Linked DNA regions of Lonchura striata. Each later gene encodes a partner of the first gene's protein in a complex. Links are inferred from orthologs where the notes say so. Each region holds a gene or a part of one and is shown in the gene's direction. Other genes may lie near its edges.

The links.
Region 2: ALYREF (region 1) and THOC5 share a complex: the UniProt entries of both Homo sapiens proteins name them as parts of the transcription/export (TREX) complex. The link is inferred for Lonchura striata from reciprocal best matches to the Homo sapiens genes ALYREF and THOC5.

The regions. Positions count from the first base shown.
Region 1 is NC_134621.1:11,935,847-11,942,438, reverse strand, and holds the start of ALYREF (THO complex subunit 4), read left to right. Parts: upstream 1-2,769; 5' UTR 2,770-2,796; coding exon 2,797-3,024; intron 3,025-3,183; coding exon 3,184-3,315; intron 3,316-5,178; coding exon 5,179-5,326; intron 5,327-5,494; coding exon 5,495-5,558; intron 5,559-5,676; coding exon 5,677-5,854; intron 5,855-6,592. Other genes in the region: ANAPC11 (anaphase-promoting complex subunit 11), read right to left, coding at 2,326-2,471, 2,543-2,651. UniProt on the Homo sapiens protein: Functions as an mRNA export adapter; component of the transcription/export (TREX) complex which is thought to couple mRNA transcription, processing and nuclear export, and specifically associates with spliced mRNA and not with unspliced pre-mRNA.
Region 2 is NC_134620.1:2,954,468-2,961,059, forward strand, and holds the start of THOC5 (THO complex subunit 5), read left to right. Parts: upstream 1-3,233; 5' UTR 3,234-3,322; exon of another isoform or gene 3,323-3,335; intron 3,336-4,414; 5' UTR 4,415-4,430; coding exon 4,431-4,526; intron 4,527-4,836; coding exon 4,837-4,917; intron 4,918-5,305; coding exon 5,306-5,449; intron 5,450-6,027; coding exon 6,028-6,141; intron 6,142-6,592. Other genes in the region: NIPSNAP1 (protein NipSnap homolog 1), read left to right, coding at 1-81, 195-240, 494-588, 687-757, 843-983, 1,140-1,171, 1,282-1,376, 1,462-1,545 and 1 more. UniProt on the Homo sapiens protein: Component of the THO subcomplex of the TREX complex which is thought to couple mRNA transcription, processing and nuclear export, and which specifically associates with spliced mRNA and not with unspliced pre-mRNA.

The DNA.
Region 1 (6,592 bases):
CTGCAGAGTGGGGATGTGTGAGCCACAGAGTGCTGCAGCTTCACCCTCTGGTAGAGCAACTGCTCTTCAGGAAGAGCCCCCTGAAGGGGGGCAGCACTGCTGGCACGCAGGATGTGCTGTCCTACCTTTTGCTGTCCTAGCTCCTCCTGCACTAATTATGCAGACATAACGAGTTGGGATTCCGTTGCCTAGTTTTATCTCCGTTAATCAGTCCCTGTCCCTTTTCCCAGGAGGAGATTTGACAAAAAGGTTTTAATTATAACTAATGTTTTAACATGTTGATGTGCTTTTACCTTCTGCCATTTCTGGCTCTTAGTAGGAGGGAATGGAGGAGCTGCCCATGCCCCCTTGCCCTTCCAGACTCTGCATTGCAGAGCAGCCTCCTGGGCAGTGGTGTGGGTGGCTGGACAGTCAGTGAGAGCAGCCTCGGGGACAAGACAGGGCTCACGTTGTTCCTCCTGTAGCTTTTCCTCAGAAACAAGGGGCTGGCTGCCAGAGGTGGTGCTGGGCTCTGGGGTTTACTGTACTGCCTCTTCTCAGCTCCCATCCCTGCACACTGCAACCCAGAGCTACTCTGGGTTGAGCTGGATAAAGGCAAATCCTTTGCTGCCCCAGTGACAGGCTGCAGGTGGCAGCTGATGCTGGGTCCAGGCATTTCTCCACACAAAGCATAGGGACCCTGGGGCCTTTTCCCAAAGGCTCTCCCATTTGCAAGGCAGCAGGACCTGATGCCTTGTGTGGACTGTGCTTAGAGCCCCACTTGCTTCTGCTGTCAGAGCCCACCTTGTGCCTGATGGATTACCTGAGGGCAGGGCCTGGCCAGGTGAAGTTTTAGGGTTGTTTTCTGATTGCTGACACTCAGCTTGCCTGCCTCTAAGGGGAGGTGCAGGGCTGGGAGAATGGTCCTGAGCTGTAAGCCCCTTTTGCCTCTTACATTCCAGGATACTATGGTGGGTATCCTTAGCAGCTCACTGCACTGTGCCAGATGGTCCTTCCAGGCTGTGTCTGGTGTCCTCTTTCTTGTAAACTTTTGTTGCTGATCATTAATAAAATGTTGAAGAGTTGTGCATTGGTCTTTTGGGGGCTTGAACCCAGGAAGGGGGCATAGGGAGCACATGCTGAAACCCCAGTACTGGTACTGAGAGAGAGCGCCACACTTGCACCTCATCCATGCAGCTCATGGCTCCCTCCCATGGGCACTGCAGGAGTTTGTCCTGAACAAACAGGGCTGGGCAGAGGCTGTGCCAGGTCTCCTGCAGCACAAAGGGCAGCAGGGTCTTTCTGTCTGAGGGCAGACAGGGACAGGAACCCTGTGACTTCAGTCACCTGCTCTCCTGCACAGCCCCTTGACCCCTGCTGTCCCTGCATTGTGCCCTGCAGCTCCTACAGGCCTTGGGCCATCCTCAGCACCACAGGAGGGAGGGGAGGGCTCAGCAGCCCAGAGCTCCCCAGATCTGGGTGGATTCCCCATCTCTAGCAAGCGCAGAGAAGACAAAGCCATCCCGAGCATGTTTATTGTCACACCATAGCCACCAGCACCGGCTCAGGCTCAGGCAGCCATGCACTCCGTGGGGTCCAAGGACAGAGGCGAGCCTGCCTTACACCCAAGACATCCTGGCAGCGCCACGGCCACATCTGTCACACACAGCACGTGCGGGAGGCACCGTCACAGGCTGCGGGCCTGGGCCAGCGCAACACTGGCTAGCACAGAGGGCGAGCGCTAGCCTGCCTGCCACGGTGGGTACCCTGCTCCGGCTGCTGCAGAGCCCCGCGGGGTTGAGGGGGCTCCGGAACCGTGCCCAGCGTCCCAGCCCGAGCCCCTCGGGCGGCCTCGGTACTCACCGCGGTGCGGAGCCCCGAGGCGAGAGGGCGGAGCTGGGCAGCAGCACAGCGAGATCGGGTTCGGCAGAGCCGTCGGTGCCGGAGAGGCTGGTGTTGGGCGAGCGGCACAGGTGGGAGAGCAGCCCCAGGTCCTGCCCACCGAGCAGTGGCGGGGCGGCACAGGACGAGCAGCACCAGCCCCAGCCCTGGCCACCGAGCAGCGCGCACGGTGCCGGCGCGGCCGTAGCACCTGGGGCCGCCGCCTTTACAGCCGCAGGTCCCGGTACGCCCACCCCCGCCTCAGAGGCGTGGCTCGGCTGCCGGGGCGGCGGAGCCCGCGGGGCGCCCGGCGGGGTCACTTCTCGCCCCCCCCGCTCCGTGCACCGACCCGAGCGCGGGGCACCAGACACAGACACGGACACGCAACTGGCGTCGCACATTTATTGAGTGGGGTCGAGCCGGCCGGGGGTGGGCCACGGCCCGACCCCGTTCCCGGGGCCGTCCTCACTCGCGGAACTTCCACTCCTGGCGGCACATGGGGCAGTGCTGCTGCACCTGCTGCGAGTTCAGCCACTTGAGGATGCAGTGCATGTGGAAGCAGTGCGAACACTGCCCCCACACCAGCGGGCAGTCGTCGCCGGGAACCTTACCTGCGGCACGAACACACCGTCAGCCCCGCCCCGTGCGCAGTGCCCGGTGTCGGTGCCGCTCCCGCACTCACAGTCGGGGCAGCAGCCGTTGAAGGCCATCCGGCAGATGCCGCAGTTCTCGTCGTTCGCCACCCACAGCCAGGACGCGACTCCGTGCCAGCTCCGCACGCGCACCCGCATCTCCCGGCCGGTCCCGCCGCGGCCCCGCCGGAAGCGCTCCCGCCCCGCGGCGCTTCGCGCGCCCGCCGCGCCTCAGCCCCGCCTCTTCCGCTTCCGGCGCGGGCGCAGCGCGGCCGGAAGTGCGGGAGGGAGCGGTGCCGCCATCATGGCCGACAAGATGGACATGTCCCTGGACGACATCATTAAGCTCAACCGGAGCCAGCGTGGGGCCAACCGGGGCGGCCGGGGCGGCCGGGGCCGCGGCGGCACCGCACGCGGGGGCGGGCCCGGCCGGGGCGGCGTTGGCGGCGGGCGCGCGGGCGGCGGCCCCGTGCGGAACCGGCCGGTGATGGCCCGGGGCGGCGGCAGGAACCGGCCCGCGCCCTACAGCCGGGTACGGATCGGGCAGGCGGAGCTTAGGCCGCGGCGGTGCGGCGGGCTGGGGTGGAGGGTCCGCGCGGGGCGGGGGCGCGGACGCGGGCGGCCCTTTGTCCACTCCCGGCGCGGCTGCGGCGCCTTGGCGCCGGTCAGCGAGGTCCCGGTCTCATTGCAGCCGAAGCAGCTCCCCGAGAAGTGGCAGCACGACCTGTTCGACAGCGGCTTCGGGGCGGGGGCCGGCGTGGAGACCGGCGGAAAACTGCTCGTCTCCAACCTGGACTTCGGCGTTTCGGATGCGGACATCCAGGTGCGGCTCGGGGAGGCGCCGCGGCGAGCGGGGCCTCATTCGCTGGCCCAGGTCGGGTACCCGCGGGAACCCCGCCGGCCCTGCTCCGGCTTGTGCTCGGGGCCGAGGATTCCCGGGTGAATCCCTGCTGATGGGGTTGGTACTAGGTATGCCTACTTTGCGGCGATCGTGGTGGTCTCCAGGGGGCTGGAAAATTCGGTTTATAGGTGTTTTGTAAGTGACTTCCCGGTGTACAGGGAGCGATGCTGTGACTGTGCTGGATCACGCTGTGGTTGGAGGATGCACTGTGAACTCTGAGCTCCTGCTCTGCACAGCTGTAGCTGTCTGTAATGGTGCTGTGGGGCCTGCTGCTTTGTCAGACCACACTCTGGTGGGTGTCAGGGGTTCCCAAGGATGCACCTATCAGTGTAACCAGGTAGTTATTTGTCATAGGAACAGCTCTCCTGTGCTGGTGCTTTGGTGTCCTGTCCCCCACCTGTCGTGTCCATGCCCCGTTTGGGCTGGTCAGAGCCCACAGTGCCTGCAATCGGGTGCTTGGGGCATCTGCCTCAGGGCTGGAGGCTGAGGGGTGTCACAGGGTCATGAGTGGGCTGTGAGCTGTGCAGGAATTGAGGGCCATGTATCCCTGGTGGAGGCTCCTGCACCACAGAGTGTTGCCATCACCCTGGCCTCTGGCTCTTGTGCCCTCACCAGGGAAAACCAAAACAGTGGTGTTAGACTTTCCTCATCAGTTCATTCATTCAGCCTCTCCACACACCCATCTGGCTGCGTGTGGAGAACTGGAAAGCAGCTCTGTCAAGTCACCTGCTCACTGGGTAGTGTGCTGCACTCCACCTCTTTTCCTCGTATAAGTTCAGACTGAGTTTAAATAAGTTTTTGTTTGTTGCAGTGAGGTGGCAGTGTGTAAAACTCAGCCCCTGTGCCTTGTGTGCAGCCAGGACTCACCTTCCTGCTGCTGCACAAGCCCCCACTGGGGGCTGAATCAACGGCTTTGGCCCCATGTCCCATAATTTAGCATTGCCTCAGATGTGGGATTGGTTTTGTTCCTGTGCTGATGCCTCTTTATGTGCCAAGAGAGGCCGAAGGTACTCTGATCACAAATGAGCTGTGCAGCATTGCTCTTTGTGTCCTCTGAGGCAGAAGCAGCAGATCCTGGGCTCTGGGCAGAGCTGAGACAGCCTTGCCTGCCACATTCTGTCCAGAAAGCATCTGCCAGGTGTCCTTTGTAGTTCTCCAGCAGCCCTGCTGAGAGCCCTGTTGTGACTTGGGAGCAGGTTGACACAGGCAGTGCAGTAACCTTGTTGGCTTCCCAGATATAGTGCCTGAGAAACAAAATTGGTGGCTCTGTTGCTGCCTCTTTATTTCCAACTTTTGTGGCAGCAAAGGACACACCTCAGCAGAGGACTTTGTTGGTCTCCATTTTTAGGATATGTTTCTAATGGGCATAAGTCTAGCACAGTAAAAGTGTCATAGTCTCGTGGATCCCTGCAATCACATGGTCATTCTCCTCTGTGAGAAAGGTGTCTGGGGTCTGCGGTATTTTCAGTTGTTGCCACTTTGACTCACCTTCAACAAGGACCCCCAGTTCCCCTGGGAAAAAAAAACAGGTCAGCATCCCTTGAATCTGCTTCACTGGCTGTAATGTGCCTCCTACAGGACGTGAGCGTGGAGTCCTGCCTGGTTTTGCCACTTGTGACAGCTCCCTGAAATCTTGCTGATGGGCTGTGCTCCCCTGTGCCACTGGGTGTTTTTCCAGGCTGTCTGAGGTGGTGGGACAAGCTCTGGTGCTGAGCGTGTCTGTGTGGGGCGCTGCAGTGCTTGCAGCATTGATGGATGGGCTGCTCCTTTCCCTGTCATTCTCAGGAGCTCTTTGCGGAGTTTGGGACCTTGAAGAAGGCAGCTGTGCACTATGACAGATCTGGCCGCAGCCTAGGAACGGCAGATGTGCATTTTGAGAGGAAGGCTGATGCGCTGAAGGCCATGAAGCAGTACAATGGGGTCCCCTTGGACGGTGAGGCTGCGTGGCCCAGCCCCACGACTTTTTCTGTGGCTGGAGCAGAGCACATCCGTGTCCCTCCCCTCGTGCCCGTTTCTCCCACGCCCTCGTCCCTCCCGCCCGTCCGTGCGGCTCCTGCCCCGCGCGTGCCCCGTGGGCTCACGGACGCTCTCCCTCCTCCAGGGCGCCCCATGAACATCCAGCTGGTGACGTCACAGATCGACACGCAGCGGAGACCAGCACAGAGGTGGGGGAGCCCCTGCCCAAGCAGTGCAGGGGAATGTGCAGGAACCCTCCCTGCTGGGGAACGTGGGTCCTGTTTGGCTTCGCTGAAGGCACTAAAACAGTTGTTTTAAAACTTACAGTGTAAACAGAGGTGGCATGACCAGAAACCGTGGGGTCTCGGGGGGATTTGGAGGTGGAGGCAACAGGCGAGGGACTCGTGGCGGGAACAGAGGGAGAGGCAGAGGAGCTGGAAGAACTTCCAAACAGCAGCTCTCTGCAGAAGAACTAGATGCACAGCTGGATGCTTACAATGCCAGGGTAAGTGCTGCTTGGGCATGGTAATGGGCTCCCTACAGCATCTCATCCTGGGAAGCACTGGCAGTCTGGAGCTGGCAGAAAAGGGAAAGCATTTTCCAGGTCCTTGGACTGAAGCAGTCTCTCTCTAAAGCTGAACTGTGCCTTGGCTTGGGTCTGAGCTTCCCTTTCCAGAGCACTTTGTCACCTGTTCCTGATGGCTGAGAAACAGGCTCTGTTCTTGCCAGGCTCCATAGCTGGAACAGCCACTATGAGCAGCAGCTGCAGAACAAAACTCGCACAGCTGATAGGTTGCAGGAATGGGAAGACGAAGGAAAATCTCATGTGAAAGAACTGTGTGGTGTGCTGCTGGGGAAAGGGTGTAATGTTTGTGGCAGAAATGAGCCCCAGCCTGGGGAGCCATGGGCAGGTTGCAGCTGTACCTGGAACTTGCTCAGCATATGCTGTAGCTGGGCCAGGATCCCAACAAAGCTGAGGCCACATGGACACTGTGGCAGCAGAGCTGGTGGTTCAAGACTCAGGATATGTCAGGGCAAGAGTGTGGAAGAAGTGGGATGAGCAGGATTCTAGAAAAAGCTTTGGAGCAGTGTTGGGGTGCAATTTGCTGTTGTGCTCATGGTGTGCTGTGGCTTGGACCCACCTGTCCCTGTCCCCCAGAGCTTGTGGGTTCACCAGAGCCAGGCTGCCTGCAAAGAAGTGAGTGGGCTTGGGTGCAGGGGGGTGCTACGAGGTACCAGGGCT
Region 2 (6,592 bases), on another chromosome or scaffold:
TGCACAAGGTGGATCCCCGCAAGGACGCGCATTCCAACCTCCTCTCCAAGAAGGAGACCAGCAACCTCTACAAGATCCAGTGTGAGTGCTCCTGCCGGGAGCAAGGCAGGCACGGATGGGCTGCACCCCTCACCCATGGGAGCCCGTTCCCGGATCCTTCCCCCGTTCCCAGCCCCTCTCTCCTGTCCCTGCAGTTCACAATGTGAAGCCGGAATGCCTGGAAGCTTACAACCAGCTGACGTGAGCACACTGAGGGGGCTTCCCAGCATCCCAGCGGGGTGTTGGGGTGCTGTTCTGGGCCGGGAGGGGTGGGAGGGTTCGTGGAGCTCCTGGGTGGATCTGTGTCCCTGTTCTGTGCCTCAGTTTCCCTCCCTGTGAAATGGATGCATCCCCCAGCTTGCACCGTATCCTGTCTGGGAGGGCGAAGAGGGGCACTGGGAGGGTTTTGGGGTGCTGACCCCCACCCCAAGTGTGCCTCTCTGTGCCCCCACAGAGAGGAGGTGCTGCCCAAGCTCCATTCGGACCCCGACTACCCCTGTGACCTGGTGGGCAACTGGAACACGTGGTACGGCGAGCAGGACCAGGCAGGTGAGGCCAGGCAGCGGCTCCTGCTGCCACGGGCAGGGATTTCGGTGGGATTTTTGGGGCGCTGCTCCCCGTCCCCACCCCAAAACCCCTGTTTGCAGTGCACCTGTGGCGCTTCTCGGGCGGGTACCCGGCGCTCATGGACTGCATGAACAAGCTGAGGCAGAACCAGGTACCGCTGGGGTGGGGGCCACAGCCCCGTGCCCGACAGCCCCGGTCGCCCCCACCCCGAAACCCCCGGCTGGGGCTGTCCCCAGGAGTACCTGGACTTCCGCAAGGAGAGGAGCCGGATGCTGCTGTCCCGCAGGAACCAGCTGCTCCTGGAATTCAGCTTCTGGAATGAGCCCCAGCCCCGCCAGGGACCAAACATCTACGAGCTCAGGACCTACAAGCTGAAGGTGGGGATCAGCCTGTGCCTCGTTGCAGGGGGGGGTCTTCAGGCTGGTGTACCCCACTTTTGGTGGGCTGCCCCCCGAATTCCCCCTTCCTGGATGAGGAGACTCCAAGCTGGGCACGCAGGGGGGCTCTGACTGGTTTTCCTCCCCTGTTCCCAGCCAGGGACCATGATCGAGTGGGGCAACAACTGGTAAGGCGCTGCTTCCCCAGCGTGGAGGGGTCCAGGGTGGGGGGAGAGGCTCCCTCTGGAGAAGGGGGGACCCTTGGGGCAGCCCCCCATGTGTCCTCTGCTCCGTGCAGGGCTCGGGCCATTAAGTACCGCCAGGAGAACCAGGAGGCAGTCGGGGGGTTCTTCTCCCAGATCGGGGAGCTCTACGTGGTGCACCACCTCTGGGGTAAGGGGGGGTCATCCCCGGGGGACCCCCGGCCCGGGGGCTATGCTGGGGGGGCTCAGGGTGCCCCCCTGTGCTCTCCCCACAGCCTACAGGGATCTGCAGTCCCGGGAGGAGACCAGGAATGCAGCCTGGAGGAAGAGGGGCTGGGATGAGAACGTTTATTACACCGGTGAGTGGGACCCCAGCCGCTCTGGGGACCCCCTGCCCGTGCTGGGGACCCCCTAACCTCACCTGTGTCTCCTTTCCTCCCCCAGTCCCGCTGATCCGGACCATGGAATCCCGGATAATGATTCCCCTGAAGATCTCCCCCCTGCAGTGATTTGGGGCCGTGCCAGGGGGGCTCCCTGCACCCCCAGGGCCCCCCTGCCCGTGCCCCGGCCCTGCAGGGGAAGGACTGGGGGGCTTTGCTCCCTCTGGCTCCCAGCTCTCTCCTCCACCCCGTTTTGGGGTGCCCTGGAGGGCAGGGAGGGGAAGGTGGGAGCCCCCCGTGCTGTGGTGGGTGCCCAGGGTGGTGCTGCTGGGGGGGCTGTGCAGGTGGGGGGGGCTTAATTGCTCCTGATGAGCCCAGCGGGTGCCTTTGCTGCCAATTAAATATTTAATATGCTAAAGCCCAGGCCCCTCTCGGGGTGGGGAGGGCGGGACTGGGGGTGCTTGGTGTGACCCCCCAGGCTAGTGTCAGGGGGGCTGCCCTGCCCCATGACATGGGTGCTTCCTGTGCCAAAAGACCTCCACCCATGGGTGCTGGGATACACTGAGGGACCCCCCCAAAACCCCAGTGCCACCAGGGACCCCATCCCATGCACCCCACAAGGTCATGGATACTGCCAGCACCACCAGGGACCCCATGCAATGCACCCCACAAGCTCCTGGAGCCCCCAGCACCACTGGATCCCCCAAGCCAAGGCCCAGCCCAGCCCATGGACACCCCCAGGGCCATTGGGGACCTCATCCCAAGCCCCTGAAACCCCCCAGTGCTAAAGTGGATGCCATCCCATGACCCTCCAAGCCCATGGATCCCCCCAGTGCCACTGGGGACCTTTTCTCACATTATTCCAAACCCAGGGATCCCCCCAGTGCCACTGGGGACCCCGTCCCCAGCCCCCCCAAGCCCATGGATCCTCCCACACCACCAATGACTCCTTCCTGTGCCCCTCCCAAGCCCCTGGGTGCCTCCTACCCCACTGGGGATCCCATCCCAAGCCCATGGGTACCCCCAGTGCCATCAGGGACCCCATCCCATGCCCCCCCAACCACGGGGTGCCATCAGGGACCCCGTCCCATGCCCCCCCAACCACGGGGTGCCATCGGGGACCCCATCCCATGCCCCCCAAACCAAGGGGTGCCATCGGGGACCCCATCCCATGGCTCCCCAACCACGGGGTGCCATCAGGGACCCCATCCCATGGCTCCCCAACCACGGGGTGCCATCAGGGACCCCATCCCATGCCCCCCCAACCAAGGGGTGCCATCAGGGACCCCATCCCATGGCTCCCCAACCAAGGGGTGCCATCAGGGACCCCATCCCATGCCCCCCAAACCAAGGGGTGCCATCAGGGACCCCATCCCATGCCCCCCCAACCAAGGGGTGCCATCAGGGACCCCATCCCATGCCCCCTCCAACCAAGGGGTGCCATCAGGGACCCTATCCCAAACCCATGGACACCCATCAGTGCTTCTGGGACCCCATCCAGGCTCCCCCATTCCTGTGGGTGCCCTTCTGCACCAGGAACCCCCCCAGTCCCACCAGTGCCCCCGGTTTGTGCGTGTGTGGGGTCTCACATGGTGACCACGCCCCTTTGGACAGGCCACGCCCACCCGCCGAGGCCACGCTCCCTGGTGTGCGCGGCGGGTCCTCCAGGCCGCTAGGGGGCGCTGCGGCAGCCGCCCCGCGCCGCGCGCTGTGGTACCGTGACGTCACTTCCGGGCGGCGCGGAGCCGAGGCCGCGGTGAGAGCCGGGGGTGAGGCGGGAGCCCGGGCGGGGATGGAGGGAACGGCCCCGTTCCCTTGGGCTGGGGAAGCTGCGGAGGGGCGGGTCCGTGCCCCGGTGTGCTAGGGGCTCAGTGCAAGTGGAGGGTCCCGGTCTGGAGGGGCGAAGGCGCCGTGCTGGCGGAGCGCTGAGGCCTCGGGCTCAGAGAGAGAGTCCCGGCGTGAGGGCCCGGGGCGGCTCCGGAGGAGTGAGGGGTCCTGGGCCCGGTGCGCTGGGCTCTGGGGCTCTGCAGAGATGGAGGGTCCCGGCTCTGGGGGGCTCGGAGCAACGGACGCCCCGGGATGGATGTGCGGGGCTCTGCGGTGATCTGGAGGAGCGAAGGGTCCCGGCTCTGTGAGGGGTCTGGAGGCTCTGGGGAGGCAGAAGCCGCAATCCCGTGTGCTGCAGCCCGGGGGCTCGGGGAGGGGCTGAGCGCTCGGGCCGGGGTCCCCAGGGAGCTCAGTGGCACTGCGGGGGTCCGGGGGGGCTGTGGTGGAGCAGACCCCGGGCTCTCTGTGCTGCTCGGGGGCCTGTGGTGGGGCAGACCCCGGGCTCTCTGTGCTGCTCTGGGGTGACTGTGGTGGAGCAGAGACCCCCGGGTGGCTTGTGCTGCTCAGGGGGTTGTGGTGGAGCAGACCCCGGGCTCGCTGTGCTGCTCTGGAGGGCTGTGGTGGGGCAGAGACCCCAGGCTGGCTGTGCTGCTCTGGGGGGCTGTGGTGGAGCAGACCCCGGAGGGGCTGTGCTGCTCGGGGGGCTGTGGTGGAGCACACCCCGGGCTCGCTGTGCTGCTCTGGAGGGCTGTGGTGGGGCAGAGACCCCAGGCTGGCTGTGCTGCTCTGGGGGCTGTGGTGGAGCAGACCCCGGAGGGGCTGTGCTGCTCGGGGGGCTGTGGTGGAGCAGACCCCGGGCTCGCTGTGCTGCTCGGGGGGCTGGGAAGGTCTGGGAGGTGCAGGATGGAGGGAGGCACAGGGGATGCTGCAGAGCCCAGGCGGGGCTGGCGGGGGGAGCCCGGGAGAGCCCTGGGCCAGGCAGGTTTGGCCCCCACAGACTGACCCTGTGCCCCCTCCCCAGCCCTGCCGGCAGCACCATGTCCTCCGAGTCCAGCAAGAAGAGGAAGCCCAAGGTGATCCGCACGGACGGGGTCCCAGCCGAGGGCAAGAGGGGCAAGGGCGACACGGACCAGGTACAGACCTGCCCCGGGACCTGCCCACACCCCTCTCTGCTGGCCTGGCTTTCCCTGCTGGAAAACAATGCCCAGAGAAGCTGTGGCAGCCTCATCCTGGCAGTGTCCAAGGCCAGGTTGGATGGGGCTTGGAGAAAAACTGGGGTAGTGGAAGGTGTCCCTGTCCACGGGACTGGATGGGCTTTAAAGTCCTCCCTTCCCACCCAAAGCATTCTGGAATTCTGTGAATTGTGAGATCCAGTTTCCCCCAGCTTCCAATGCCTCCTAAACTCCCGCTGTGAATTCCTAAACCTGCTTCCATCTCTTTCAGGAGACACAAACACTCCTCTGGAGAGTGAGCACAAAGCTGGAAGATCCCTCAGGGATTTGCATGGTGCCTTCAAACCCTCCCGTGAGCAGCAGGATAGTGTAGGATCAGCCAGAGTGGGGAGTGGGGTGGAGGAGGAGGAGGAGGAGGAATCACCTTTCTGGTTTGTCCTCTGTGTCATGTAGATCATGGAATATCCTGAGTTGGAAAGGATTCACAGGGATCCTCCAGTCCAACTCCTGGCCCTGCACAGACACCCCAACGGTGTCAATTCAAATCTATAATAATAAAAGACAGCCTGAACTTGCCAGGTGTTTTAGTGACTGGTGGGTTGGGGATTGTTGGAACTGAGTCTTTTCCCTGTGTAAAGCCATGGGACTCGTGGGTACAGCAGAAATGGCAGCTGGTCTCCCAGAGCCCTTTCCAGAGGGAGGGATGGGATGAGCCACGGGAGGTGTCCTTGCCTTGGCAGGATGTCAGGTACTACAGCGAGGAGAGTGAGGTGGATCTGCGTGACCCCATCAAGGACTACGAGCTCTACAGGGAGACCTGCCAGGAGCTCCAGAGGCTCATGGCAGAGATCCAGGAGCTGAAGAGCCGGGGCATCAAGGAAAATGTGAGGAGAGGCCTCCACGTGTGGTGTAACGTGTCTGTCATTTGGTGTTTCCCCATTAATCCCACAGGAAAGGCAGCAGGAGCTGTGATGTCTCCTGGGCAGAGTCAGGGAAATGGAGCAGCCTCCCTTTGCCAGGCTGCTGGGGCAAGAACTGAGCTCTGGAAATGGAGCAGCCTCCCTTGTCCAAGGCTGCTGGGGCAGGAATTGTGCTCTGGAAATGGAGCAGCCTCCCTTTGCCAGGCTCCTGGGGCAGGAATTGAGCTCTGGAAATGGAAGTTTCCCTTGTCTTGGGTTCCTGGGGCAGAGATTGAGCTCTGGAATAGCCTCCCTTGTGCCAGGCTCCTGGGACACGTCAAGTGCTTCAGGCTGGATCAGCTCTGTTCCTGCTGCTGAGGAAAAAAGGCTGGAGTGATTCTCTAAGGAGCCTGGACCCCCCTCCTGTGATCTGGCAGCAGGAGGCTCCCTCAGAAGCCCCAGTGACATAAATGTGGCTCCCTAGCAAAGCGTGGAACCCCTTTTGTGGCAGGAATTCCCTGCAGAGGTGGTGCCAGCCATTTCTCCTGCTTCCCACCCCGCAGGCCTCGGAGATCGACGAGCGGCGCGTGCAGAGCTGTGTGCACTTCATGACCCTGAAGAAGCTGAACCGCCTGGCCCACATCCGGCTGAAGAAGGGCAGGGACCAGACCCACGAGGTAGCCAGGAGGGGCTGGGAGGGAGGAATGCAGCTTGGGATTTAGGGGGGTCAGAGATGGGGCAGGTCCTGCCTGTTCTGCGTGCGTGGTGTGAGGGGTTGCACCTCGGCCAGGTCGTGGGGTTTGAGTTGGGGGTTTGTTTGCAGGCTCTGTCTTGGTTTAAAAGCCAGGTGTCTGCTAAGGAAGCCTTCCTTGAAATGGAAATTGTAAACTCCCTGTCTCTGGATTATTATAATTTTGAAATTAAGAGGTTCTCAGGTCAAGATATAGGAATAGGAATAACAGTTCTTTATTAGGAAAATTAAAAATACAAATATAATAGTACAAACAAACAAAAACAAACCACTGCCAGAGTCAGAGCAGCCCTGTCCCCTGTGTGTCAGGGAGGTGGCTCAGCCCCATCCCAGGGGGGCTCAGCCCTCCTGCAGTGCCAGCTGTGCTTCTGCTGGAG